Linked DNA regions of Lonchura striata. The protein of the gene in region 3 interacts with the protein of the main gene of each other region in a biochemical or structural test. Links are inferred from orthologs where the notes say so. Each region holds a gene or a part of one and is shown on either strand. Other genes may lie near its edges. The genes, in order: MAPK12, SCN4A, ERBIN and ATP2B4.

Region 1 (7,643 bases), on a different chromosome or scaffold from region 3:
TTCTTTAGTACACAAACCTCTTCTTTCTGTGGCCCACAGTGTTTCCTAAGATTGTAAATCATTCCTTTCCTTCATATATATTGATTTGTAACTTGTACACATTGTGCTCCGGTTCCCCAGTGAGCATTTTCTTCAGGACACTTTAATTACCAATTGAGCCCACAGGGAAGTTCTAGAGTATTATTCCACAGGGCATACACTGTACAAAACCTGTTAGGAGTGGAAAATGCTACCCAACAGATTATTCTGGGAAATGGAAGAAAAATAATCTCAAAATTCTGGACACAGGAGCTTGGCAACTGTGCAGGCTGCTCTGCTCCCAAATGTTCAGTAAAGAAAACGCTGAGAGTATTAAAGCCCATACACAGAAGTTTCCTGCAAACATTAACTCTTAAACATATGGAGTAGAGGTTATGGGACAGTTACTTTGAAGTATTTAGATAAAAAGATTTAGATTAAAACAAGTAGACAGTTTCTTAAGCCTACAAAAAGCTCTTTTGCCTTCTGGACTGTCAGGATAGCCTACAAATTATTCTTCAAAAGAACCTAGTTGGTACTCACAATATTAGTATTATAAAATTAAATAGCAATGTCTAGTTATTGTTATTACCATTTTCTCTCATGCTTTTGATCTCTCAGTTTTTTGTGAAGGCACTCTGAATGGAGGTATTCTCTAATCTTCCACATCAATTAACATTTTAAACTATGTTCTTATGCATCATTTTAACAATTCCCTCCAAACAAATAAAGAGTTTTTTATCCTATGCATTCTTCATGAAAAGCACTTAAAAATACTATGGTAACCCTCCAAATCCACCCTGGGACTCTTCTCACCTGGAATCCATGCTTTGAGACTCTGTAACAACTGCTTTTGCACAAACTTCTTTATTTTTTTCCTAACTCTTAAGCAGTATTGGGACCATGAATCTTTCTCTCAATCACACTTTCAACATTTCTTTCTACAGCTGTTCTTTCATGTTATATGGGAATTATGTGCAGAATTCTATTACCTATTCTCTGTTTCACAGTAAAGCAATTTGTTTAGCCACTTGTGGACTTTTCCTGTTTCCCATTAATATCAGCCTGAAAGTTTCAAATGCTTCATAAACGATAAAAAGGGAGAAAAAAAGAAATAAAAAAGGAGAAAAATGCTAACCCCGCCTCAGAGATATGCATGTGTACATCTTCATGAAAGCTCAGGGGAACAAAAAAAAAAAAGAAAAAAGATAGAGACTGTAATTTCTGGTCTTTAATCCCTCTCACTAGCACTGAGCAAATTGCACTGTAGTCCTAACCTTCCCCACCCAATTTTTCCTACGTGGAAATTAAGTGGTGTTTCGCACAGGATATTCTAGTTTGTGTGAAGTGATATTTGTAGAACAGGCAGACAAAAAAAACAGGCTAAAAGATTCCTTAATTCCATTCAGGTACACATCTGCCCTGTCCAAATATACATATTTTCTTTGATTTAGAGTGTCTAAGCTGTGGTTTTGAGCTAATGACTCAACTCACGTTTTCATGTTTCATGTGTTTCAGGAGACGCAGTTCTCGGTATGCTCGTTTGGCAAAGAGTTCAGACTGAAACGGGCGGTACAATTTCTTAATAGCCACTTTGGTACCACTTCTTCCATCGACGGCTGAGCTTTAAGGGAAAAGATAGAGTTCGGTGAGCAAGGACCGAAGCCTGTCTGCAAACCCCAGCAGACGCGGCCAGCACCGGGCAGCGGCTGCATCCTGCCGGGCCTCGGGCCCGCAGCCGCCCGCGCCAGCGGGGAGACCGGGTCCCCAGAGCACCTCTGCAGGCAGCCATCGTTTAAAAGCCTGCCAGATCCTGTGATGAAATGTAGACAATTATCAAAAGCTTTAAAGAGGAACATCTGCGGAGTGGGGGAAAATTCCCAAACGAGAAACAAGACAAAAAGATCCCACTAAACACACAAACCCACCACCAACGCAGAGCCAAACTGCGTTTGAGGGGCCCGCCTCAAGCGCTAAAACACCTCGGGCTCCAGGGAGCCGCTCCGGGGTGCCGCGAGCTGGGCTCGGCAGCGCGGCCGGGGCAGCGCTCCCGGGGCCGGGGCAGCGCTCCCGGGGCCGGGGCAGCGCTCCCGGGGCCGGGGCAGCGCTCCCGGGGCCGGGGCGGGGGCAGCGCTCCCGGGGCCGGGGCGGGGGCAGCGCTCCCGGGGCCGGGGCCGGGGCCGGGGCAGCGCTCCCGGGGCAGCGCTCCCGGGGCCGGGGCAGCGCTCCCGGGGCCGGGGCAGCGCTCCCGGGGCAGCGCTCCCGGGGCCGGGGCAGCGCTCCCGGGGCAGCGCTCCCGGGGCCGGGGCGGGGGCAGCGCTCCCGGGGCCGGGGCCGGGGCCGGGGCAGCGCTCCCGGGGCAGCGCTCCCGGGGCCGGGGCAGCGCTCCCGGGGCAGCGCTCCCGGGGCCGGGGCAGCGCTCCCGGGGCAGCGCTCCCGGGGCCGGGGCAGCGCTCCCGGGGCAGCGCTCCCGGGGCCGGGGCAGCGCTCCCGGGGCCGGGGCGGGGGCAGCGCTCCCGGGCCGGGGCCGGGGCAGCGCTCGGGCTCCGCTCCCTCGAGGGACGGAACACCCGCGGCTCGGCTCCCCCTGGCGGAACAGCCCGGCCCGAGGCGGCCAGGTGAACAGCGGGGCCGCCCTTGCACCCGCGGGGCCAGCCCGGGTCCGGACAACAAACGGGAAAAGTTGGCAGGGACCAACACGCCAGAGGGCCGGCCCCGGTAGCATCCCCGGGCCGGGACTGAGGCCGCCGCCCCCGCCCCCGGGCTGTCCCCGCAGCCCCGCTCACCACACGGCTCCGTAGGCGCCGGACCCCACCGGCTGCAGGTCCCGGTAGCGGTCCCGCACTTCCCAGAGGGTCTTGGTGATCTCCTGCCGGTAGAAGCCATTCTTGGGGGAGGACATGGCGCTGCCGACCCCCGCCGGCCCGCGCCGACAAAGAGCCCGGGCCGGGGGAGCGGGAGCGGCGGCGCCGCCGAGCTGGGCTGCGCCGAGGGGCCGGGCCTGAGCGAGCGGCACCGCCCGCCCCGCCGCGCCCCGCCGGCGGCACCGCCCGCCGCCGCCGCTGCCCGGGACCGGCGCTGGGATCCGCGGCTGCCCCGGGACCGGCGCTGGGATCCGCGGCTGCCCCGGGACCGGCGCTGGGATCCGCCGCTGACCCGGGACCGGCGCTGGGATCCGCCGCTGCCCCGGGACCGGCGCTGGGATCCGCGCCCGCCGGCAGCGCCCTGCATCCCTGCTGCCCGGCCGCCTGGGGCTGCGCTCCGCGGGGCGCGCAGGGCGCGGCGTCCCGGCGGCGGCGGAGCGAGCCCGCACACGGGGGCAGGTGCCGGGGCTCTCGCTGCCCGTGCGGACCAAACCCCTCCCGGCCGGCTCTTCCCCGCCACGGGGCCCCCTCACGCCTGCCTTGTTTTGCCTTTGTGCTCAGGTTCCGGTGAGGTGCCATCGCTGGGAGTACCAAAAGTGAGCTTTTGGATAGCCTCTGCCCTGAGACGAACTGATAGGTTCCCAGACCATCCCAGAATGACACTACAAGTTACAACAATATTTCATATAGTTAAATAAAAACCACGCGCTTGGTTCAGGTGCTCAGAGCAAGTGGTCCTGCGCATGGATGAAGTGAACTGGAATTGAACTGTTGCAGCACTGGCTTGAAATTATTGCAGTGTTGGAGTATGGACAAGAGCAACCTTCTCAGTGGCTCTGTAGTAAACAGGCCTGGGCCAGCAACACGTGTAAGGCAAAGACCAGGTTTAAAATAGGTTTTATGTGTTCTCTGTGTGAATATGATTAAAATTCTTGTCCTCCAGTGTCTGGTAAAGCCTTTGGTTTTTTTTTTTTACTTCACCCCTGAGCAATGTTGCTGAGGTTATATAATTTCAGATTTGCTGTCACTGGAGTTCAATTTGTGGTTTAGCTCTAAAGGGGCAATCTGGACAAGTTTCATGGCCATTTTGGTAGTTGCCAGGGGCCCTGCCCTTTTGGTGCCTGACTACCAAATGTGGAAGAGCTGCCCTGCCCTTGCTCCTCCCGGGGTACAGAAGAGCAGAGCCTTCCAGCTGCCAGGTGTTCCAGTGCTGCTCTCTGCTGACCTGTTCGAATCTCTGTGTTAGTGAGAAAGGAGAGCAACCCTCTGACATTTAGCAGTTAACATGAGGCTTTGTGAGAAGTGTTAGATCAATGGTAGATATTTACTTTTAAAAATCCAGGAGATTATTTTTTAATTTGTTACATCCCTTCTATGCTGTTTGCCATTCCGATGTTAGCTGGTGTGATATGTGGTACAGGTAAGGTGAAGGATAAAGTAGCTTCCTCTTTTTTCAAACTAGACCATTAGTTAAATTACTTTTAATTACCATTTTATATGTTTCTAATAGAGGCAGGATTAGTTTTGCTTGTCATCCCTCACCTACTTTTCCTTGATCTAGTTGTGACAAAGTGGTACTTTTTTACTGCTTGCTTTTTATCAAGGCAGAAATTAGGTTATTTTGATACAGTAGATAAAAGTACTAACTTAGCATCAAGAGAAGTTCACTCTTGTGCAGAAGCTAAGAATATTACAGAGCAACTTTTAAAAAACATTCTAAATGGACAAAGTTATCCACTTCTGGTTTTCCCATGTTTTTCCTTCAGTAAATATGTAGGCATACTTTGCTACAGATGGATGAAGTAGCTGTGTAGGTCAAATATAAGACCAGCTTTCCCACCAGGTCACACATACAGGAGATGAGCTGGTAAATTTACTGAAAAGACTATGAAATCAGCACTGTTGTAACAAGGGAAGCTTTGTCTAATAAACCATTCAAAATCTCTGTGAAAGGAATAAGTCAAGAACTTGGGTCCATCCACAGCTGGTAGATGTTAGAGCAGTGTCACAAACTGCATGAGTCTCTGCATCCTGCTAGGCTCAGCTGGATACGTGGTGACGTGTTTTCCCAAAGACAATTTGTTGCCAGGGGACTGATAGATGCTACAGCCATATCTTATTCTGGGCAATGTGTGCTTGACAGGATGGATTTAAAAAAGAGTGCTATCAGATGTTTCTACTTCTGGCATACATTTATTGTAAAGTTAATAGAAAAAAGGAACTTCTTCAGACATCATTAACAAAAAATAATAAATGCATTAATGGTGCAAAAATTGCACTTTGCTAATGTTCATCCTATAAAGGGAAGATTTAAGATGTATCAGAATGTGGTGGGGTTTTTTTAAGAGTCAGCTTTTGATGTGCTGGATGGTTGCCATCAGCTGCAAAGCATATGAGGTAGATGGGATGGGTACAGTACTTTTTCTAATCACTCTGGGAACTGAGAGCACAATTTCCCTCCAGCCTGGTGCTGGAGCAGAAGCTCTACAAGCAAATAGTGAGAAATCGAATAGTTTTTCTGAGAAATCCTACATTTATGAAGTCTGGTGAGAGAGTTTGATGGCAAAGCTGCCACCATAAGCTGTCACTGGGAGATGACAAAATGGCACAGACCTGTTTGTCAGGAGCTGAACTGTGGGTGAGCTGCTGGGCCCTGGGTGCAGGGAGAGGGGACTGACACTGATCTCCAGACCAGGCACTGATAACGTGCAGGAAAAGAGATCATACAAAATCCTTTGAAGAATCAAACATCTTCCCACCTTTCTGCCTGTTTATATGTCTGTCTTTCATATGATCATTTTATTCTTGATACACTAATTCACATATTAATAATTTGGCTGTGTAAAACATACCTTAAATGTCAATAAACAAAATCTTGCTGAATAGTCAAAAGCTGATTCCTAGAACATTATTTTTTAAAAAAAGTTTTCTATATGCCCACCTTCAAAAAATACTCTGTGCTTGTCTACTTAGATCTGTTGCCATGGAGGAAGTAAGTTAATTCTATTTATTACAACAGGAAGTAAAGTTTAAAAAATAGTAATTAAAAAAAATCTCAGTTTTAATAGGAAAATATTCTTGTGCTATTTTGTCCCCACCCTTCCCCACTGGAGTCACTGCCAACTATTTTGCAACTTTTCTGATTTTGTCTCTCTGCTCAATGAGCAGGGTGTTTCAGTTCCAGTTCTGTAACATGTAGCCTTCCTGGGGGCCTTGCCATGTTTCAAGGTCACTAAGCCATCAGAAGAAAGGAGTAAATAAATATATACACCTAAGTGCTTTTTTATTTTAAAAAATAATTAGAAGTATACATTACATTTTTTCAAGAGGTCAAGTGAGACCTTACTAGTAACTATATACTACCCCATTATCCCTGCTTCTTGGAGGTTGGTGGAGGAAGAGAGGCCAATTGTAGAGGGTAGTAGACACCTATATGAAAATCAACTACTTTTAATGCTCTCCTTTTCCTCCTCAGAATCCACCAAAAGGTCCTCTCCTACAACAGAAGGATTTTAATTTTTAAACTGTCACAGATTGTTGCAGTATGAGACGCTATAGTCTACAGAGTAAAAAAAAAAAAAAACTTAAAGAATTTCCCAACCTCAATGCAAAAATCGTATGAAAAGAGCATTAATGGATATCACTGATAGATAGCTTTACTCATTTAATATGTGACAATAATTGGAGCTGGGGGACTATGGGAGTGCAAAATGAAGCATTTGTATGTATGCAAGATTGAAGCCTAATTGAAGAGTTTTGCTCATTGAAATTGAGCAAAATTGAAATTTCTGGTCTAATGGATTAAGTCTCAGATTGGTTGGAAGATCAGTGTTCAGAAAGCTCACGATATATTCTGTCACTGTAGTGAAAACTTAGACCCTTTTAGGTGTATCAGTTCAATATTTTATTTTACAGCAGAAAGAAGGGCAGTGGCAGCAACACTAATGTAGCTTTCTAAATCTCTTGGTACTAGTGCCTTAAAACCCCTTACCCAGAGTCATAGATTAATGAGCCTTGGTACTCTCACTTGTGCTAGTGTGCTGATTTTCTAAGAACCAGCGTTCGCATCCATAAACACTATCAGCAGTAGCAGCAATGTGTGAGAAAAAAGCAGCTGCTCTTAAAGCAAATGGAAGTGTTGCTATTAATTCTTTCCTAGGGAGACTGATCTTGTCAAGGTTGAATCCCTTTCTGCTGCTAACAAAAGACATCGTTTACTCAATCGACAACACAATTCTCTTTTCATGAGGGCGAAATCTTTAACACTGCTCATCTGTCAGGGATTCTTGGGCCAAGTCAGTAATTTACAGATGTAGCAAAGGATACTAATTTGTGCTGGCAGCTCTGTATGGTACTTTTTGGACAGATTCATCTTTGATCAGGTCCCAAAGGTGGGTAAAGTGGAGGTCTGTTTTCTTGTTATGATCCAGGAGCACATGTGACAGGAAGAAAGGAAGGAAGTAACTTTTGTATTGACTGCTTCCCACCTCTGTCAAAGTTTCTTTTGCTGCCAACATTTTGTCCTTGAAAGGGTTGTTTCCCTCCTGACCCTTAGGGTGAGCTTGCTGTGTCAGATCCTGCAGCACAGGATCCTGACCCTCCTTCCCTCTTGCTTTCATCTGGTATACCACGTCAAAAAAAAAACAAACGCCAAGAGCACAACCTAGAATTCTGCCACAGTGCTGTCTAAATTATGACTCTAGCTATTGATATTGACGTATTTATTTTCATATATCAGTATTGATTACCTAATTTCCTATT
Region 2 (7,198 bases), on a different chromosome or scaffold from region 3:
CCCTGCCTTTTGCCTGTCTTGAGCAGAGAGGAGCCCTCCACACTCTCCAGCCTTTTCCTGGCAGCCAAACCTCTGCAGCCTGGTGTGCACCGGGACAAGGACACCCCGCAGCTGTGCTGGCACTGGGGATTTCCGTGGAGCAGGATGGATGCACAGTTCCACTGGAATTGTGTCCCGTTCCAGCAGCACCTTCCGTGGGCTCTGCACTGCTCCGGGGGCTCTGCACCTGCCACAAACGGAGCTGCTCCCTCCTCCGGCTCCTTTCAGAGGCTCAGCTGAGCCCATCACGGCTCTGCCTTCCTTTGGAAAGCCAAATCCTCCGTGCTGAACTTCCAAGGGGGCACGGCTCCTCCAGGGGCATCAGCTCCAAAAATCCAGCTCTGCAGAGGCACCTCCGCTCCTGCAGCAGCATCAAACCCGTGGGAATGAATGCCCCGCGGTTCCCGGATCGCTGCTGCCCTGCAGCTCCTGGGGCTCGGTGCCCCGAGGCTGTACCTGCTGTGCTCAGTGGGGGCGGCACACACAGCCCAGGAGCTGTGAAATCCTGGGATGATCTCCCCGGCCACAGATGGAAATAGGAGGTTGCACCATCCTGCAGCCACGCACTGACCCGTTCCTGCCTGGAGCCGGGGATGCCACCCCAACCCCACTCCTGCTGTCCCTGCTGCGGGACAGGGCATTGCTGGAAAGGGGACACCCACACACGCCACAACTGGGTGGCGGCTCGGGGTTATTTTGGGGGGAGTTGGCAGTGCTGGAGGCTTGAGCAGCCAGGGAAGGGTTAAAGTGGGGACCCTGCTCTTGCCCACTGCCCACCCTGCACTCGGGTGTCATCCAGAGTTGCAGCTCCTCCCTGCCAGCAGCTCCCGTGTCAGGCTTGGAAAAGATCTGAGCCGTGCCAGAAAGGCAGCGAGGGGACAGTGAGGGGGAAGGGAGAGTGGCGTGGGGCTGCAGTGACCTGTTGTCCCCCAGGCTCGGGGGGATGCCCCCACCCCTGGGGGATGCCAGGAGAGACAGCAGCTCCTGCAGGGATCCCCAGCACAGCACCAGGAGCAGGTCCCAGACCTGCTGCTCCCATGGGGTTGGCAATACTGGGAGCCCTGCAACTTCCCAGGGCTGGAAGATGCCCCGTTTCCCTTTGCAGCCTCTGGATGCCAATTCCCTGGAGCAGACACCTGCAAAGCAGGACCAGCACGGGGCACTTGGAGCTGTCACAGAGCTGAGCCCCACAGCCCGAGGGATCTCATTCAAATCCACCTGGAAATTGAGAAGGAGACCCAAAGATGAGAGGTTCTCAGGATTTTATGGATCCCAGGAGGGAGACAGCAGGACAGGCACAGGCACGGAGGCTGAGCATCCTCCCTGCTCTCTCCTGAGCCAAACTGGGATCTTTCCCCTCACAAGTTCCCAAAGCCTCCACCACCTTCTCCCCTTTCTGCCCTGCACAGAATCCACCTCATTAATCCAACCTGCTGCAAACAGAAACGGTGCTGGGCGTCTCCTCATGGCTCGGCCACTCATTCTCCTACACCAAATCCAGTAAATTTCCCTGAGCTGAGCTGGAGCTGCCCAAGCGACTCCACAGAGCCAGGCAAAATGCTGAACTGGACTGGACCCTTTTGTGCATGTCAGAAAATACAAAACGCTATTTAAATATTAGCACAGCAGAGTCAAGGCAAGACTTTGTGTTCATTAACCCCTTCCTGTAAATATGCTCTTTCCCCCTCAAACCATTATAAATCCAATATTTTTCCTGGAAAGAACCAGAGGGGGCAGCTCCAGCGCTGCATCAACCCATCCAGGGTCTCCCCGGGACAATAGGACTGACTGGGATGTCCTGCTGTCCCCAGGGCTTTGTGGAATTGTTGTCCCTAGCTGGCAGCGGCAGTTCCATCCCTCCTCTGCTGCGAGCTGATCCCTGACAGCTCCATCAGTGAGTGCCCTGAGGGCAGGGCAGGAAATGTTTCTGCTCCTCGGCAAACTTCCCTCTGCAGGGATGGGGAATGGGGAATGGGGGATGGGGGGTGGGGGAAGGGGGAATGGGGGCTGACTGCCCCTGGACAAGCCCCAAAAGGGCTCTGGGCGTGCAGAGCGGGCCCTGCCCATGCAGCGGGTGATGGGAGCTGGCACAGGGGGGATACAGCACCCAAAACCCCGAGCTGAACCCCAGCCTGGCACTGCCTGATTGCCATGGAGGATCCAGCTCTGAACACCACCCTGGGCTCATCCTGGCACCCTTTTGCTGTGCCCGTGTGCCCACAGCCCCAGTGTGGGGACAGCCTCCCCTTCCCTGCCACCCCACCCCGATGTTGCCCCACGGCACAGGGGTCCCACCGCCCCCTCTGCCCTCGGGTCCCCCCTGCCGCCCCACGGAGCACGGGGGCTCTGCGGGGACAGGGCTGCTCCCGAAAGGAGACACTGGGAGCACTCGCAGACCTTTCCTGCAACCTTGGCTTGCCCAGGCCGGGGTTTATATTTAGACCTCCAGGAGGAGAAGCCAGGAGAAAAGAGCCTTGCGACTTGTGAGCTCTGCCCGTGGCTCCTTCACTGTGACGGGGAAGGTGGCTCGGGAGCCCACTGCCCGCCACGTCCCTGGCTGTCCCCGCTCATCCCGACACAGCCCTGCGGCCACTGAGGGCCCCGCTGGCTGCTGCCACCCTCTCCCCGTGCCCTGCCTGCACCTTCGTGGGGACTTTGTCCCCTGTCCCGGACAGTTTTCCATGCAGGGGGGTCCAGCAGGTGCCTCCAGCCCTGAACACCCCCCAGAGCCAGCAGAGTCCATCCTGGGCCCGCCCGCCTCCAGCGCTCGGACCGTAAATCCCGGGACATTGCCGGTACCGCTCCGGGCACGGTGACAGCGACAAAGCCGGGCACATCCCGGACCCCGCAGCCCTGCCCGGCGGCCTGGCAGCAGCCCAGGGCTGACCCCAGTACTCACTGTTGGGTGGAGAGTGTGAAGTCCCAAGGAGAGACTTTTTAGGGCCAGAACCTCCCTCTCCTTCGACTCCTGGAGGCTTTGGCTCGGCGAGTTGGCAGAGCAGCTGCCGCGGCTGTCAGATGGTCATGAGTGAAACCTGAGGACACGCGGGGTCCTTCAGGTAGCCCGGCCCGTCTCGGCCGCGGCGCTCGCTCCGCGCCGCGCCAGTCAGGCTGGCGGCGGGGCCGGGGCGGCCGCGGCTCCTCCGGCTCCTCCGGCCCCATCGGCCCCTCCGGCCCCTCCGGCTCCTCCGGCCCCATCGGCCCCTCCGGCCCCTCCGGCCCCATCGGCCCCTCCGGCCCCTCCGGCCCCATCGGCCCCTCCGGCTCCTCCGGCCCCATCGGCCCCTCCGGCCCCTCCGGCCCCATCGGCCCCTCCGGCTCCTCCGGCCCCATCGGCCCCTCCGGCCCCATCGGCCCCTCCGGCCCCATCGGCCCCTCCGGCCCCTCCGGCCCCTCCGGCCCCTCCGGCCCCTCCGGCCCCACCGGCTCGGCTCCTCCGGCCCCTCCGGCCCCTCCGGCCCCTCCGGCCCCATCGGCCCCAGGTGCGCGGCGGCTCCGCGCCCGCTTCGGCAGCCGAAGGGACCGGGGAGCGGCGGGGGAGGTGGGAGCGACCCTGGCCAGCGCCTCCCCGGCAGTGACAGGCGCTGGAAAGAGCAGCGGGACAACTGCGAGGGCGGGGGGGCAGCCGGCGCCAAGGCCGCTGCCAGCGCTGTGCCCGAGCCCGGGGCTCTCCGGGAGCGTCGTTCCCATTGTTCAGAGCCCAGGAGCGGCCACGCTCCTCCCCTTGCTGGCAAACCAGGAGTGTCTGTAACTTTTTTGTCCCCTCCTCGCACCCTGTTGCACCAGAACATCCCAGGAGCATCCGATGGGGATGTCCCTCGCGTGTCCTGCCCACGGGGACCCCGTGAGCCACAACCGGGGTGACGCAGAAACAGGGATTTGCCTGAGTGGGGTTGTCCCCTCTTTGTGCTTCCTCATGGGGTCTTTGGGTTCTTCTGCCAAGCCCAGGCACTTCTGGGGTCCGTGGGGTGCCCGGTGTGCCCCCAGGGCCTGGAGGAGAGGGTGTAGGGGCACTCAGCTTGCAGGGTCACCCCTTTTGGGGTGCTCAGGGCTGTGCTGGGGGTGGAGCAGCCACCCCAGCACTCAGCCTGGTCAGAGGGGTTCATCACCTCCCCAAACCCACTGTTCCTGTGATTAATTTCTGCTTTTCCAGTCCCAAAACACCCTGGAGAAACTTCCAGGTGTTTGGGTGGCTTCAGTGGAGCTGCAGCCCCTGACTTTGCCAGCCTGGAATGCCATGGGAATCCCCTTCCTGCCCAGCCCCTCACCCCTGTCCCCTCCAGCACCCTCCACAATCAGCACATCCATGGCCAGGCCTGCAGCCCTGACCAGGGAGCTGGGAAGTGAAGGTCCTTGGACTGGTTCTGCTTCTGACTCCACGATTTTCCTGTCCTGTGCAAGGCTGTGGGAATGAGGCAGAGCCGGAGCTGTTTCAGCTCTCCAGGGAAAACTGGTGCAGGAGGAGGGAAGGAAGAGCCCAGAGCAGCTCCCAGGGGTGGCTACAGGCGTGGCTGGCACTGGGAGCCTGTGGACAGTTAGCTTCTGACCTCTATTCACAAGAGACTGAAAATAGAATAAAAGATTTTAAAACTCCTCTCAACTCAGAAAAAGACTTAATCCAACAGGAGCCCACTGGGGGCTGAGCAGCAGAACAAAAGCCATGATCCAGGGCCACAGAGCATTCCCTGTGCATCCCAGGGTCAGTGGGTTTGGCTGGTGGGGACAGCAGGGACAGGGACACCCTCCTGCTGTGCCTGTGGGGACTTTCCATTTGCTCTGTTGGTCACAGCGGGGAATTCAGGGGATGTTTGGTGGCTCCCAGCAGCTGCCCCAAGCCCAACCTTGTCACCCACAGAGAGACTTTTCAAGCTGCACAGGTCCATTTTTGCTTCTCCCAGACCATGAGCAGGCCTGGAGTGAGTCTGGAAACCCTGGATGTGTCTCTTGCCCCGTGCGATGTGGAGACACCAAGGGTCCCCAGCGGGGCACATGGGCACAGTTCTGCCTGCAAAACCGAGGAAATTCCAATGGGAATGGGAGCTTGGGGCACCGAGAGGTACTGACCACACTGATCAGGGTGGAAAAACGTGTCCTTGGGTTTCCAGGGTGGAATTAGGGCCATGCTTAGTCCAGCTTTGGACATCTGAGGTGCCCTGGCTTGTGGTGCTGGATCCACCACAGGATCACAGAATCAGGGAATGGTTTGGAGTGGGACTGACCTTAAACCACCCACCCCCACCCCCGCCATGGCAGGGACACTTTCCACTGTCCCAGGCTGCTCCCAGCCCTGTCCAAATTGGCCTTGGGCACTGCCAGGGATCCAGGGGCAGCACAGCTGCTCTGGGCACCTGTGCCAGGGCCTGCCTACCCTCCCAGGGAACAATTCCTGCCCAATCTCCCACCCATCCCTGCCCTCTGGCAGTGGGAGCCATTGCCTGGGTCCTGTCCCTCCATCCCTTGTCCCCAGTTCCTGCCAGCGGTGTCCCTGCCGTGTCCCCGGGGCTCTGCCGGTCCCTACGCAGGCAGGGGAAGGGGAGACCCGGGCAGGGCCAGTTCCCCGAGCTGCAGAGCCGGGAGCATCCCGGGGCGGGATGAAGGAGCGGATGGAAGCCCAGGGCACCCTCTGTGCCAGGCAGGGCGTCCTGGCAGGTCCGGAGGTCGGGGAAGGCGGGCACGGGCAGCAGCCCCAGGCACCGCGCCCCAGCTCGGCCCGCTCCCGCCCCGCCGCGGGTTAACCCGCACCTGCCCGGGCTGCCGGGCTGTCCCGGCTCTATGCCCCGAGCAGGGTGACCCTTTCCTCACTGGCTGGGGCTCTCGGAGCCGGGCCGTGGCCGCGGTCGCCCCGCTGCGCCCCGCGGGCTCGCCGCGCTCCAGCGCTGCCCGCGCCGCTGCCGCGGGGCCGCAGTGCCACCCTCCGGCTCCGGGCTAAACTCCCCGTGCCCGGACAGCGCCCGGGCCTGCGGGGACACGCGGCACCGCGGGGACACCGGGGCGAGCGGCGTGCCAGGCTGCGGCACTGCGGCCGTGCTGGGGCAGGATGCGGGTATTAGAGCCAGAACCCCCGAACACAGCCTCAGGATCGTCCAGGGTGGAAAAAATCCCTGAGAAGGTGACGGTCTTCGGAAGAAATTCCTCCTTGCGTTACGTTCTCCCCCTCACACAGCCCCCTAAATAATCAGGCTAGCCCAGAGGTCCGAGGCTGTGAGGGGAGGAATATCAGGACATGACAAAGATTTCCAAAAGAGGCTCTTACCCCTGATATGTTGGTTCAGCTCTCTTTATTCTGTGGTGTCCAAGGGGAGAGCGGGGCAAAAGAGGATGAACAGGAAATGTCTGGGGTCTATATAGACTTTGGACAGGGTGGGCTTCCCTGGCTCTCCGCCAACCCCGTTGGGGCAGAAAGGAGGGGTCCAGGATTATCTTGATCAGAGTCGCAGGGTCCCGGGGAAGGGGGCACAGAGTGTCCATGAGCTCACTGTAACACCTGCGAGGGTGGGCAGGCCCTGGCACAGGATACCCAGAGCAGCTGTGGTGCCCCTGGAGCCCTGGAAGTGCCCAAGGCCAGGTTGGAGGGGGCTTGGAGCAGCCTGGGACAGCGGGAGGTTTCCCTGCCATGAGCTTTAAGGTCTGTTTCAACACTTTAAGATCCCTTTCCACGATCTTTAGCAGCTGCAGGGTGGAGTCCGTGCTGGGAGCCTTTGGAAAACCTTTCCTGCAGGCTGAGGGTGATTCCCAGTCCCCTCCTGTCCTGAAGGGGCCTCAAAGTCCCATGGGGTTCAAAGCCCAGCAAACCCCAGAGGGTCATTTGGGGTCATTTATCACCTCAAAACGCCATCTGCAAATGGAAGTGCAATTCCAGAGTTTTTCAAAGTTTTCTGAAAATAGGTGTTCCCACTGAGCATCCTCAATCCTGCTCAATCTGCTCCTGTCTCATCCCTGCAATCATCCCATCCTCACTGATGATGGAGAGGGATTCTATTCACCTCTGGTCCCTTCCTGGCTGCAGACAGGGATTTATTTAACAGTTCCTGAGCTCCTCTGGAGGGTTCCTCATCATTCAGGATGTACTGGCTCTGGAAGGGTTTTTATTGGAATATATATCTCCCATCTCACCTTAAATCAGCTCTGGGGCTCTGTTTCCTCTCAGTGCCCTCCCATG
Region 3 (7,063 bases):
TACACATGTGCAAGGCTTTCCTTAGCTTTGATCTTCCAAGCATGGCTCTTAATGACTACGAGTAAAGACTCTCAACAAATTCCGCCAAGAACAAATCATAACACAGTTTTCTGAGACCACCGACTTAATATATTAAGAAACTGTCCTTTAGTATTTTCTCCACAGAGCCCCCTTATCCATTCTATATGAACATGATGTGCAAATTGATACCCTACAGAGCTTTATGCTTACACTAAGTATTATCAACTGTGCAGCTTATGCATAAGACAAATCTATTCATATTTTACTAATATAATTATCATCTTAATGATAATCGCATTCCATAGTATGCCATATACTGCAAATTCTATCTCTTTGATTGCAAGCATTCCTTCCTAAAATTACTGATGTTTACTCAAGCTTAATTTAATTCATGAATAAGAACCGGTCAGGTCAAAAGAACATTTCCCCAAGCCATCAACGCATAGCTATAAAAGTGCTGTTTCAAGCACATGAGCTACTATGTGTAAGGTTAAATAATTTTGTTCATAATAAGAATATCAATGTCAGACTGATTTTTAGTTGCGATCATTGACCTCAAGAAAGAACACATCCCTTCATGTTACTCCCAAATTATGTTAATGCCATAATGGCATTCAATGATATAAGCGTGAGCTGTAAGCAGAACTGAATCACACTTTCGTCATTAAAAAGGGCCTTATCCATAGCTACCATGGTGACAAAACACTAGCGTAAGAAGTTGTGCCTCCACTACAAGGAACCATTCTTCTACACAGCATTGAAAAATATCAAGTGCATCATGAGAGACACAAAAGGCCTGAAAAGAAACAAAATTGCCTTGATTATGAACATACTGGTTTACAACTAAATTTGTCATGCACTGCTACAACTCCTCACCCTCCCCTCAAGAATCTCAAGTCATTATTGGGACTGAAACACTGCTCTAGAAAGGGATGGTTCTTTGTAAAAGGATTACTCTATTCAGACTTTCTGCCAAGCATCAGCCACATAAGGAAAGCAAAGTTCACTGCCACTTATTTTGTCCAGATCTTTCTGATGCCTAAGAATAACCCTTACTGCTGCCTGGAAAGGTAAGTCTATAAATTGCAAGTCAAATAATTTATTAGTTATCAACCACTGAACCCACTTTAGACATTTATATGTTAACATTTTTTCTTACACTATACCAACCAGAAGGAGTTGGATTATTTTTTCTTAAAGCACTAAATTACTCACAATGTTAAAGAACGATACTCCTACCTATGTAGGAGTGTTAAAAATTTTGCACAGAAATTACTTTGTCCAAGACTCCCAAATACCAGTACATGTCACACATTGGCAAGACTGAAGCATACACATCCTATCTGACCAACATGTTGCTTCTGAGTTTGACAAACAGAAACAAACGTTCCAGAGCTACGGTTTCTACCTTGTTCTAAACATTCACAATATGAGAAACTCCTTGCCTCCACGAAAGAACTAACCTATAATTGTCGCTTTGATGCATGAAAAATAAACGTGCATCTAGTTAGTTGGTATAACAAGCACTAGAGGTACAAAATCTTACACTAAAACTTCGCATTTAATTTCCTCTTCAACAGCTTCAAAAATTAGTTCTTTCAAAAATTAGAAAGGTGAAAGTGGTCACCAAAATCAACAAGGCTACATTAACAGCTCCAATTGCATGCATTTTAAAGAAGTCAGACAACTAGCTATCTGCTTTGGTTTTGTTCTGTATTTTGTTTTAAATGAAGGTCCTTAAGATGAACTTTGCCAGGATCAAAATGCAGGATAGACCTCCACTGCACAAACTGAAAAATAAGCAGTCCAACTCGTCGATTTGAGAACAGAAAGGGTAAAGGGGAAGAAGACGGGTGACTGCAGCAATCGAAGGTGGAAAAACTGCGACATTTACGGATGACCAGGAGGGCGTATTTTTATAAAGAAACTCAACAGCAACCCTGAAGAAGTCCGGCCAGCCACTAACCGATATTCTAGAAAACAACTCAGACATAAGCACGAAGCATCAAGAGCTTTCGATTAAAAAGAAATATTACCTCCTTCATGACTTTCTCATTTCCCGATAACTTAATTGTACTCGCAGGGTTACCAAACGTTTTGCAAGGGAGGGAGCTGAAGAAGCAGTTACGCAGTCGAGCAGTTTCAGCTCAGTGCCTTCTCGGACCGAACAAAGAAACTTCTGTGTCCGATGAGATTAAAAACTTTCGGTCTCACACTCTTTCCCGGCCTCCATGAAACCAGCGCCTCGGTTCACACGTTCAGGCGAGACGGTGAGAAACACAATGAGCAGCTAACAGGGCAGGCCAAGGCGGAAAACAGAGACAAAATATAAAGGCCAAAAACAGGATATAAAACGAAGCCTGAACTCCTTGCTTTTTTCTCCACCCCCTTCCCAGAGGAAGGATTTTTCTGTTGTTTTTGTTGCTGCTGATCCCAAGCCTTCCCTATTTACCTTAGGTGTCGGGGCGCCGAAACCAGATCCAGGAGGCAGGAGTTTCTTCCGACCCCAAGTTAAATCCAATCGAGTTTCCTTCTTCACGGAGAAAGAGGGCAGAGAACGGGGAGAGGAGGAGAAGGAATATTAGCAGCTTTCGCCGAGGACGAGGGAGTTCGTGCGCACGGGGAGAGGGCTCCAGAGCAGCCGGGCTCCTCCCGCCCCGCCGGTCTCCCCGCGGCCGGCCCCACGTCGCGCCGGCCCCGCCCGGCGGCGACACCGCAGCGCCCCCACCGCCCGGCGCGGCCCGGCGCGGCCCGGCGCGGCCGCCGCCCCTCGCCGCCATGGGCGCCGCCGCTCGCCGCCGGCTGCGCGCCCGGGATCGCGCTGCCCGAGCGCGGCCGCCACCGCCGAGGGCTGAAGGGAAGCGGGATGGCGCCTGCCTCACCTGCCCGCCGCCGCCCGCGCTCCCCGCCTTCTCTCGCACACTTCCCCCTTCTCCCGCGGCTTCAGCCTCCCGCCCCCCTCCCCGGCCTCGGCAGCGGGGGGCCGGGGGAGGCGGCGGAGCTGTGGGAAGAGGGAATGAACGTCCCGGGCAGACACGCGGCGGGGGGAAGGGGAGGTGGCCGCGGGCGAAGCCGCCGCGCCGCTGCTGCTGCCGGCGCCGCGCAGCGCTGGCCAGACGGGGGAGGCACTGCCGCGGCACGGGGGGCGGGGCGGGCGCGGAGCCGGGCCGAGACCTGGCGGGGGCGGGAGCGGGAGCGGGACCGGGCGGGAGCGGGAGCGGCGGGCGCGCCCGCGCTGCTGTGGCGGGCGGGAGGAGGGACGGGCGGACCGCGCCGGGCTGGGGAAGGCCGTGAGGGACGGGCGCTGCGGCCAATGGGGCCCGCGGGGCGGGCTGCGCAGGAACGCGGCGGGGCGGGGGCGGGCGGCAGCGGCGCCGGGCGGGGGCTGCGTTTCGCCGCCGCGGAATGGCTCCACCCGCTGCTGCCCGGTGTGGGGCCTGTCCCAGTGTGGTTTTGCGGCAGAGCGTCAGTCGCACTGACAAATTCACACCTGAGTGACGGAAGTTTCCTCGTTAGCAGCTCAGCTCCGTAATTTAATGGTTGCACACCCTCTGCAGAAAGCGCTGAGGCGCCGGCTCACGCCATCAGGCGCTGGCCATTGCCCCTTCGTGGCCACCCGACCCCTGCCCCCGCACCTTGTGCTGCCTGACTCGCAGCTACCGAGATCTGAGAGAACGAACACACCCAAGGGAAACACTGACGGCCTCCACCCACGCTTTGGTGTTTGGGTATGGTACGTTAAACTTGGATACAAACAACAACAATTAAAATAATGCCGCCCATATTGTCACAATGTTTCACGTAAACCCTGGAACACTGCTGTACTTTTTCTTCCAAATATTTCAACACTGTCAGTACGTTACAACGGTACTGAAAATGCGTGTTGACTGACAAGAGTCATGTTTGAAAAGCAGGCAGTACACAGATCACACGGCTTTGGTATTGGTTGGGTTTGGATTGCAGTAGTACAGGTGTGATCTGAACAGAAGCAGTGAGTTTCTTTTTAATTTCCTGGATTGTTCGAAATGGGTATTTGATAACCTATTGTGTATGCAATATGCCATTTTAAGTGTCCTGGAGCCTGGAGTTCTGTTCAGCCATAACAGAGCACATGAAGCTGACAGCAGGGTGGAATTGTGCATGCTGCTCACCTTATGCTCCTTAATTGTGCTCAGCAGAGACCAAATCTGAGGAGAGGGGTAGTTTTGTTTTCACACTAATTTAATCCCTGGCTACTCTACTGGGACTGCCACCAACTAAGATGGAGTAGTGTTTTATGATGATAATCGGTTTACTGAGAAATTGGCAAAATGCTAAGAAGTGTTATATGAGCCATTGAACAGCAAGGGAAATGCTTTGTCATGTTACTATTGACCTGTCCCTGATTTTAACATAGGACTAGATGAGAAAAGTCCTTTACACCCCTACCAGTCCTTGACAGTAACTCAAATTGATACTTCCTGTTCAGGATCGTTCTTTGCTTCATCTATTTTCTTACAGGGTTTTGAATGAAGGGTTTAACCTTTAGCAACAAAACATAAAGATGATCACATTTTTATGAAAGTCCACTGTGTTTAAGACATTGTGTTCAACAATAGTTATTAATTTTAAACTTCTTGCCTATATATGGGAATTGTACGTTCAAGTATCCAGCTTGTATCCAGATCCAAAAAATAAGCATGCATTCCTACTATGATAATAATACTCACTTACCGTTTCTTTACTTTTCTCCACCTTCACAGAGCATACAGCCCTACTTTGGGGACTACATCTCTGCCTAAATTTAAATAATTAAACTAAATCAAATGTAGTCATCAGAGTTTATAAAAAAGAGAATTGTATGTGTATATATAGATATTTTCCAAAACATTAAATCGCTTCTATTTCTTCTTGTTCAGAAAAGCCATTTTCTTCAAATGAGTCAGCTTTGGACTAAGTCCAAGCAAGAGAACTTTACCCCCACTGACAACAGATTTAGAATTTCTCACTACAGTGCCCTGCAGTGGTACCCTACATTGTGTCTATAATAAAACTATTAATTTTTTAAATCTCTTGCAAATGATTGATCATTCCTGTCATGCACCACATAACATATCCTTACCATAATGTGACTAGCTCTCTGCAACTGATGCCCTCCATCATGAACTCTTCAAGGTACTTTCTTATGTGAATTATCACAACTTTTTAATGTGAAAATATTTTTTGGAAGTGTTTATTGCAAATTGCCCAGTGCATTTATTAATTCAGTAGAATAATAGATAGGTATGAGAATAGTAGCTGTTGCTCAGATGGTGAATCTCCCATAGGTGTTAACATTAGTTGCAATGTAAGATGCTGTTTCACTTACAGTTTTAGCCATCAAAATAAAAGCCTTTCCAAAGTCTGCTGAAACTACAGCTAGCTGGAGCACAGCTACTGAAGATATTTTGCATAGACAAGATATAACTATATGTACAAATTAAGAAAATACCAGGAGTTATCCTAGGGATCTAAATGTGCTATAAATATCAAAACAGAGTCCCCAGCAATATTAATTCCCACAGTTGGTATCCCAGTTACCAAATAATTACAGAGTAGGTGCACAAAGTTACAAAATGAGTCTTTCAAGTGAGACTCTGCATCTGATCCCACTGAACATTTAAACAACTCCTGTATACACACTTTCATGCTGGACATGAAGCCCAAACTCCTCTCATTTTAATTTCTATTTTTATATTTGAAAGGAGCACTAGTAAATACTGCAACAACTTGCAGCTAAATCAAAAGAACATTTGGTGAAACAGTCACCTGTATGTTTCTCTCTCAGGAGTTAAGTGGTCTGAACAATTACTACATAGTTTCTTCTGAGTGACAGGGTTTAATTGCTGCTTTCCCCTATTCTTACTACTGTTGTTCATTATGATTGCATGTTTCCACTTTTCTAGGAAATAGATTGAAAGGCCTCTGGGGTAAGCACTTCTGCTTATTAAATGCTCAGGTAATGACTTGAATGGTGGATTTCAAATCGATTTGAAGTGGAACTTCTGGGCATGACTGCAATACAAATATTAAATAATAATTAGTGGAAGTAATAACCACATTAAAGACACGAAGAGGCAATAAGTAATTCTTTTTCTTTAACAAGTATATATTGAAGTTTATTTTAAATATTCCATAATTTAAATTTGCCAAAATATCTTACTGTAGCATTTTCTGAATTTACGTGGTTCACAGCTGGATGACACCACATTTATGCTGGTGAAATTAACACAAAACTGGTATAATTCAGTGGCAATTAAGTCTTAGAAGTGTATTGCTATAACTTCTACATACATAATGCATTTTTACTATATTTAAAGAGAAGCTAAGTAAACAACTTCTGTTCAGTCTAACTTCACTACAATCCCAAATGTGCACTGGCTAAATACACCATACAAATAAGTTTTTTTCTGTATTTGGTTGCTTTGTTTCTCAAACAGTATAATCAAAGTGATGAATTATTATGCAAGTACCAATAGAAAACCTTGGTAACACCACAACCTATGTTTTTTATGCTGTGTTCTAGAAATTATTAGGAACATTTTAGAATTATTTTTAAGCATTATACTGTTACTTTTTGCTTGTTTTTATCTTCCTTGGTTAGCATGGGAGAGCTGGTGATTTCTGAGGAACATTTGGGACATAGAGGAGCATTTCATGTGAAGGAGCAAGGACAAAAAGGTGGTGTTAAGGTACTTCTACGCTTTCCTGATTTGGACTGCTTTGCTCCTGCCCAGTCTGTTAACACTGATTTTAAGCTATGCTGTAGCCTCTTAGCCTAAGGGTCTGTTTTGACAGCTGATGCCACCACATAAATCTTGTGCTGGTGAAAACAAAGAGAAAGGAATGAAAATGAAGCCATACTATGTGAGAACACTGGCATCTGTAGATCATAGCCAAAAATTCTTTGCTGACTAGTTTAAGACAAAGAGTTACAGATGAAGTTGGCAGAAAGAGCCAACTGCAAAGTTGCCTAAAATAAATCATGTTCTCAGTATGTTGCCTATGCACTGATGGTAGTTTT
Region 4 (6,868 bases), on a different chromosome or scaffold from region 3:
TGTCTCCCCGCCGGGTCTCGCTGTCCCTGCCCGGGCTCTCCCGGACCCAGCGGGATGCCCGGGCTCTCCCCGCAGGTTTTCCGGCTCCTTTCCCAGCAGGGCGCAGCCGTGCCCGGCGGGGAGGAGCCCTGGGCGAGGAGGAAGCCGGAGCTGCCAGCCCAGCCCGGCCCAGCCCTCGGCCGGGCCGTGCTCGGGGAGCAGCAGCAGCGAGCGGGTGGCGGCTGCGAGTCCCCCCCGGCACCGCAGAGATTTGGGTCCCCAAATTCCCCGCAGGCTCCAACCCTGCGGGAAAACTCCGCTCGTGGCCTAGCAGGGAGGAGAAACAGGAATAGAAAAAAAAAAAAAAAACTAGAAGAAAACACATAACCCGAGAGAGGAGCGGGGAACGCGCGGGGAACGCGCGGCCCCGGCGAGGGGCGGCGGGGAAGGAGCGGGCTCGCCTCGCAGGGCTTGGGGACAAGGGGAAACTCCAGGCTCAGCTCCACCCCGGAGCTTTCGACTGCTAAACAATAGTGGAGAGGAGCAGGCGTCCCTCCCTGCTGCTCTTACTCATCCTGCCCAAGGAGCCGTGCCACCCTTGGGCTGCCCCCGCCCTGCCCGGGGGCTCGGGCGCGGCGGCTCCCGGCTCCGGAGGCGCAAGGCTGGGGTGACAGCGGCAGATTCCCCCGGGAAGAGATGCGGACCCACGGCACGCGAGCGGCGAGCCGGCAGCGCAGGGAATTCCCTCCGTCATCATCGCCAGCGGAAAAAAAAAAAAAAATACAAAAAAAAAAAAAAAAAAAAGGAAGGAGAAAAGAAACCAACACCCAACAACAGAATGCGCCCTCTCAAACCTCTCTACCTGCAGCACTTCTCAGCGCTTTTCCAGCCGGGAAGGAGCCGGGGTAGGTAGGACGGGGAGCGGCAGCCACGGCCCCGCCGGCGGCCAGGGCGGGCCGGGGCCGGAGCCCGCGGGGAACGCGCGGTGCCGGGGCCGGAACGGGGAAGCGCTGCCTCCTCCCAGCTCCAGCCGCACCATCCCGGCACCGGCACCTTCCCCGTGCCGCGGCCATCCGCCAGCCCAGGCGATGCAGCCGGGCCTCGGGCACTCACAATTTGGCCTCCAAGCCCACCCAGCGCCCACCTTTGAGGAAGGGTCCTCCGCCGCTCCGATCCGAAGGGCACCTCCAGCCCCCCCGAGCCGCCAGCCTGGCCGCACGGAGGGGTCCGGGCGGTCACCCGAGGGGGCAGCCGGGGAGGGAAGCCCAGGGCCGGCGAGGGATCCCCGGGGCGCGGCGGGGTGGGGCTGGCGGAGCGCGGGGGCGTCAGCCTCGCTCGCTCATGATTGAATAATTTAGGTGCGTTTCAGTGCTCGGAAAAGCGAAAGATTGAGGGCAATGTCTGGAGGCAGGCAGGGCGCAGGCAGCGGTGCAGCCCCTGCCTTGCCCACGCAGCCCAAGGGGTTTGGGATGGGGGGCTCACCTCGGGGGTCCCCCGGCCCCAGGACGGCTCTGGGTGCCCCATGGCGAGCTCCGAGCACTCACCTCCACCCCGGCTCGCTGCCCTCGGCTCCTGCCCGTCCACCCACGTCCGGGGCTGCCAGTCCACGGCCACGGGCAGAAACTGGCTGCACTGGTTTGGGCTTCGCAATGCAAACCCCCACCCAAGCTCAGGTCTCCAGAGATAAGAGCACAATAACCTATTGTCCCTCCTCCCCTCCCAACATCTCCACTCGCCTCTGGCGAAGCGGGGAGGGACCACCCAGCTCCGCACAGCCCCCCCCGCCCCCGCCGCCGGCAGCCCACGGGGGACACGGACCCACCGAGCCAGGCCAGGGATGCTGGGAGGCTCCGGAGCCGGGCTGGGATGCAGCGAGAGCGCTGGGGACAGAGGCAGGAGGAGGCGGACGAGGCCAGAGCCTGGCCGAGCTTGCAATAGATTTCCTGATTTATTTTTTAATTTATTTTCCGCCTCCCCACTCCTGTTTTCTCTGCTGTGGCTCTGCCCAGCTGGATTGGTGCAGGCAGGAGGGAGACGTGCCCAGCCGTGGCGTGGGCAAACCCCCCCTCCCCTCCCACGCACCTCCCCACCGCATCCCACCCTCCCCACGCGCCCCCCACCCGAGTCACCCCACTCCAGGCAGGGAGCAGCCCCCTTTGCTGCCCCACGCGTGGGGGAAAAAAACCACCCCAAACCCACCCACGCAGCACCTTCCCCGCTCTGTCCTTGGGCTGCCGCAAGCCCCCCTCCCCTTCCCCCGCCTCTTCCTTCCTCCATCATCCTCATCCTCCTCCTCCCCGCAATGCCACAACCCGCTGCCTCCCAAAAAATCCAGCAACACGCGCGACCGGGAACCCCGCACCGTCCTCCCCCCCGCACACACACAGCCACCTCAAGGGCGGGCAACAAGTTGTAGGATCCGACCGGAGCATCCTCCCCACCCCAAAACCCGGGGGGCTGCCGGAGTTACCCCCCCCACGAGAAATTTGGGGGCTGCACTCCCCGCAGCCGCCCACGCCCCGGAGCGGCCGGACCGCGGTCACCCCACCACCCCACCCTTCTCCCACGTGGGATTGGGGTCTGGGGGGGGGTCCCACACCGACCCCCCCGTGATGTAGAACCCACGGCGAGCCCCCCCATCCCACCTGCTGCACCGGGACGGAGCGGGGCGGTGAAACCCCCGCTGCCAGCGCCCCACCGCCCCCACGGCGGGGGCGGCGATGCTCCCACCCCCGGCCCCGACACAGACCCCCGCTCCGCAGCCACCCCACGCCACTCCCGTGCGTCCCCCCGCCGTGTCCCCAACACCTCAAACCCCCCGCGGGACCCCCGTACCCCCAAGCTCTCGGGGTCGTGTCCCCCCCACCCCTTGCACTCACCGGCTCCGGTCCCACGGCGCCCGGCTGGCGGCGGAGCCCCCGCGACTGGCCATGGGCTGGAGGGGGAGCGGTCCCGGAGCTAACGGGAGAAAATGCTTGTCATGGCAACCCCCCGTGCCGTGCGGGGCCGTGCGGGGCCGGGCCGGCGAGGGAGGGGACGGCGGGCAGGGAGGGGGAGGGCTCGTCCCAGCCCGCCGGGGGAGGGGCTCCCTTAAGGTGGCTGCACGCCCCGACGGCCGCTTAAGGGGGACGGCGACAGGAACGGGGTGAAGGGACCAGCGAGGGGGGGACAGCGGCGTGGGGGACCCCGAACATGGCAGGAGCCCACGGGCAGAGCGGGGGGTGCACGGCTGGAAAGGGTGGGGGCACCCCCGGGTAATATCGGGGACCCCCAAGCACGGTGGGGACACGCTGGTCAGGGTGGCAGATGCACCCCCAGAAAGAGGGGAGACTCCCCCGGGCAATGTGGGGACACCCCCGGGTAATATCGGGGTCCCCAAGCAGGGTGGGGACACGCTGGACAGGGTGGCAGATGCACCCCCAGAAAGAGGGGAGACTCCCCCGGGCAATGTGGGGACCCCCCCGGGTAATATCGGGGTCCCCAAGCAGGGTGGGGACACCCCCAGGTAATGTGGGGACCCCCCGAGCAATGTGAGGACCCCAATGGGCAATGTGGGGACCCCCAGGTGCCACCCCAGGTACCCCCAAGCAGTGTGGGGACCTCCCCGGACAATGTGGGGACACCCCCGGGTAATATCGGGGTCCCCAAGCAGGGTGGGGACACCCCCAGGTAATACGGGGTTCCCCAGGCAGGGTGGGGACACGCTGGACAAGGCAGTGGGTGCACCCCCAAAAGGGTGGGGACACCACTGGGAAATTTGGGCACACTCCCTGGGCGATGTGGGGACACCCCTGGGAAGAGTTGGGGACACCCCGGGGCGATATGGGGGTCCCCAAGCAGGGTGGGGACACGCTGGGCAGGGAGGCAGATGCACCCCCGGGAAGAGTGGGGACACCCCTGGGCAATGTGGGGACCCCACCCTGAAAGCAGATTGGAGTGTGCACCCCCAAAACCTGTGGGGACCCCCCAGGGCAGTGTGGGCACCCCAAAAACCGCTGGCACCCTCATGCCCAGCCCCCTCCCCACTCCGGCCGTGGAGGTGGCAGAAGGAATTCTGTGACCTGGGACAAAATTGGGGTTTTTTGGGGGGTTTTAGCACTTTTGGGGTGGCTCTGACCCACCCTGTCCCCTCATAGGCAGCACAAATTTGGGGGTGCTGACACCTTGAGATCCAGCACGCCCAACCCCCCCACCCCAAATCCCACCCTCGCCCCTTTTCCTAAAGGAACCCGGATAAAATTCCCCATGGAAGGATTCCATGCAGGGCTTCGAGGGGGTTCCAAAAATCCCCTCCCAAATCCCAGTTTGGGCTCCAGCTGTTCCAGTTTAACCAGTGCAACACCCCTGCGGCCACAGCCCCTCATTAGCCCTCGTTAATTAGCCCCTCATTAGCTATCCCAAGAGGTTTGGGCCTGCACCTCGGGAATTCCACATTGCCAGCCCTGGGAATTCATTTCCACCCCATTTTCCAGCAGAATTCCTCCCTCAGCTCTCCGGGATGGACCTTCTCGCCCAGCCCAGCCGATCCAGGGGATTTTTTTGGAGCTGGGAATGTTTTTTTGGAGTCACCCGAGCGACATCAGAGCTGCCCGGGTTGGATTTCATTCCATCTCCGCATCCTTTGGAGCACGACTGTGAAAAATGCAGATTTTGTGATTGGCTTTTCGCAAATGGCACGAAGAATATTATGTGTGTAATGTTAGAAAGTGATGCTGTGCTAATTCTCTTCGGTAGTGTGTTAAATGTACTTTTAGGTTACAACTTAATGTTAAAATATAGACTATGTATGTGGGGGAAGTTGTTTTTTTATTTTTTTAGGAATGAGATACTCGCTTCAAGGAACACCAAAATCTTCTAAAAGAGAAGAATTTATGGCTTCTTATCAGAATAAGCTTAATTTCTTCAGGCCTTGCTCAGATCGAAGACGCCCAGGGATTAAAGGAAACAACTGACATACAACAGACAGAGTTTGTTTTAAATAAAATATATGCATAACCATGAAGGATATATGAATATGCAACAAGTGGATTGGTTTAAGGATGATTCTTTTGTTCACAAGTCATGCTTTTCATGACTTAAAGCACCCAAACATCCATAATTCTTTGCTTTGTATTGTCTTGTATTGTCCTAACTCTAAACTTTATTCCTCTAATTGTATTATTATTTTTATAACCATTTTATTATTATCGAACTTTTAAAATTTTAAAAAAAACAAGTGATTGGGCATTGTTCGCAACCACCTTTGGGAAGAGGAAAATGCCCTGGGTTTGGAATTCCTCCTCAATTGCTCCTTGGGAGTTTCCAGGGTTATTCCTACTGAAAATAAAACATATATATAAATTTATTTATTTATTTATTATGTATATATGTATATATGTATATATGTATATATGTATATATGTATATATGTATATATTTCTAGATTTATAGGTTTATAGATTTATAGCTTTATAGATAATAAAATATAAAATATTTCAGGGCTGGGCATTCTCATGACAAAGACTCAAAAACCAAACTCAGGCCCCTTTCACTCACTCCACGTTTGCCCGCCACACACAAAAAAATGGGAATAAACACAGGGATTTTTATTCCTCCACCAAAATCTGCCAGCCCTGAGCAGGCTGGTTCACAGAACAGCTTGGAAAAGAGGTGTTGGAGCAGCTGGCAGGCACGGCTTCCCATGCAGAGCTGCTATTGAGACATAATGGCCTTTTCCAACAGGTTCTGGGAGCTTGGAAGGAATCTCTGACCATCTGGATTTGGGCTCCTGGAAGGAAATCAGCCTTCCTGCCCCAGGGAAGCCGTGTGAGCAGGAATTTGCCGGGAATTTGCAGCATTGGGTTTGGGTTAAAAAGGGGAAAAACAGGTTTTCCACCCCAGGGTAGCGGCTGCGGGAGGGAGCAGCCAAAATCCCGAAATCCGTGTGGGGAAATGTGATTTTTGAGAGGCATGAACGGCCCCAGAGCTTCTTCCAGGCCACGTTTAAGGAGAAGAACATGGAGGAGAAGGAGCAGGAGCAGGAGTATCACCTCCAAGTCAGCACCGAGCTGTCCCCACGAGCTGCAGATGGGAAAAATTCCTTCACAGAATATTTTGGGACCCTCTGTGTTGGTCTCTGCTTCCCTCCTGCTCCACTCACCTGCTCCTCCCAGTGGCTTGGCCACCCCCGGGGAGGTGACAGAGGTGTCCCCACGCTGCTCGCACTGGGACAGGCTGGATTTGGGGTGGCACTGGGGACAGGATGGTATAGGCTGAAAGAAGAGACAGGCTGAATTTTGGGTGACAGGCTGGATTTGGGGTGACAGGCTGGATTTGGGGTAATGATGGGGACAGACAGATTTGGGGTGATGATGGTGACGGGCTGGTATAGGGTGACAGATGGGACAGGACGGATTTGGGGTGACAGCAGGGACAGGCTGGATTTGGGGTGAATTCCAGGGTGGATCCCTGGGTGGATCCCTGGGTGAATTCCCAGTTGGATTCCTGGGTGGATTCCTGGGTGTATTTCCAGATGGATTCCCAAGTGGATTCCCAAGTGGATTCCCAAGTGGATTCTTGTGTGGATTCCTGGGTGGATTCCCAAGTGAATTCCCAGATGAATTCCTGGGTGAATTCCCAGATGGATTCTTGGGTGGGTTTCTGGATGGATTCCCTGGTGGATTCTTGTGTGAATTCCTGGGTGGATTTCTGGATGGATTCCCTGGTGGATTCTTGTGTGAATTCCTGGGTGGATTTCTGGGTGGATTCCCAAGTGAATTCCTGGGTGGATTCCCAAGTGAATTCCCAGGTGAATCTCCAGTTGGATTCCTGGGTGGATTCCTGGGTGGATTCCTGGGTGGATTCCTGGGTGGATTCCTGGGTGGATTCCCAGGTGAATTCCTGGGTGGAT

What was found.
Region 1: the proteins of ERBIN (region 3) and MAPK12 interact in a test that uses a peptide from one of them, tested with the Homo sapiens proteins (2 studies listed by BioGRID and IntAct). The link is inferred for Lonchura striata from reciprocal best matches to the Homo sapiens genes ERBIN and MAPK12.
Region 2: the proteins of ERBIN (region 3) and SCN4A interact in a test that uses a peptide from one of them, tested with the Homo sapiens proteins (2 studies listed by BioGRID and IntAct). The link is inferred for Lonchura striata from reciprocal best matches to the Homo sapiens genes ERBIN and SCN4A.
Region 4: the proteins of ERBIN (region 3) and ATP2B4 interact in a test that uses a peptide from one of them, tested with the Homo sapiens proteins (2 studies listed by BioGRID and IntAct). The link is inferred for Lonchura striata from reciprocal best matches to the Homo sapiens genes ERBIN and ATP2B4.

The regions. Positions count from the first base shown.
Region 1 is NC_134607.1:30,007,336-30,014,978, forward strand, and holds the start of MAPK12 (mitogen-activated protein kinase 12), read right to left. Parts: upstream 3,008-7,643; 5' UTR 2,921-3,007; coding exon 2,805-2,920; intron 1,643-2,804; coding exon 1,513-1,642; intron 1-1,512. UniProt on the Homo sapiens protein: Serine/threonine kinase which acts as an essential component of the MAP kinase signal transduction pathway.
Region 2 is NC_134627.1:1,945,083-1,952,280, reverse strand, and holds the start of SCN4A (sodium channel protein type 4 subunit alpha), read right to left. Parts: upstream 3,017-7,198; 5' UTR 2,939-3,016; intron 1-2,938. UniProt on the Homo sapiens protein: Pore-forming subunit of Nav1.4, a voltage-gated sodium (Nav) channel that directly mediates the depolarizing phase of action potentials in excitable membranes.
Region 3 is NC_134642.1:27,979,477-27,986,539, forward strand, and holds the start of ERBIN (erbin), read right to left. Parts: upstream 3,020-7,063; 5' UTR 2,904-3,019; intron 2,707-2,903; exon of another isoform or gene 2,555-2,706; 5' UTR 2,474-2,554; intron 2,312-2,473; 5' UTR 2,058-2,311; intron 1-2,057. UniProt on the Homo sapiens protein: Acts as an adapter for the receptor ERBB2, in epithelia. By binding the unphosphorylated 'Tyr-1248' of receptor ERBB2, it may contribute to stabilize this unphosphorylated state.
Region 4 is NC_134632.1:2,837,505-2,844,372, forward strand, and holds the start of ATP2B4 (plasma membrane calcium-transporting ATPase 4), read right to left. Parts: upstream 3,008-6,868; 5' UTR 2,859-3,007; intron 1-2,858. UniProt on the Homo sapiens protein: Calcium/calmodulin-regulated and magnesium-dependent enzyme that catalyzes the hydrolysis of ATP coupled with the transport of calcium out of the cell. By regulating sperm cell calcium homeostasis, may play a role in sperm motility.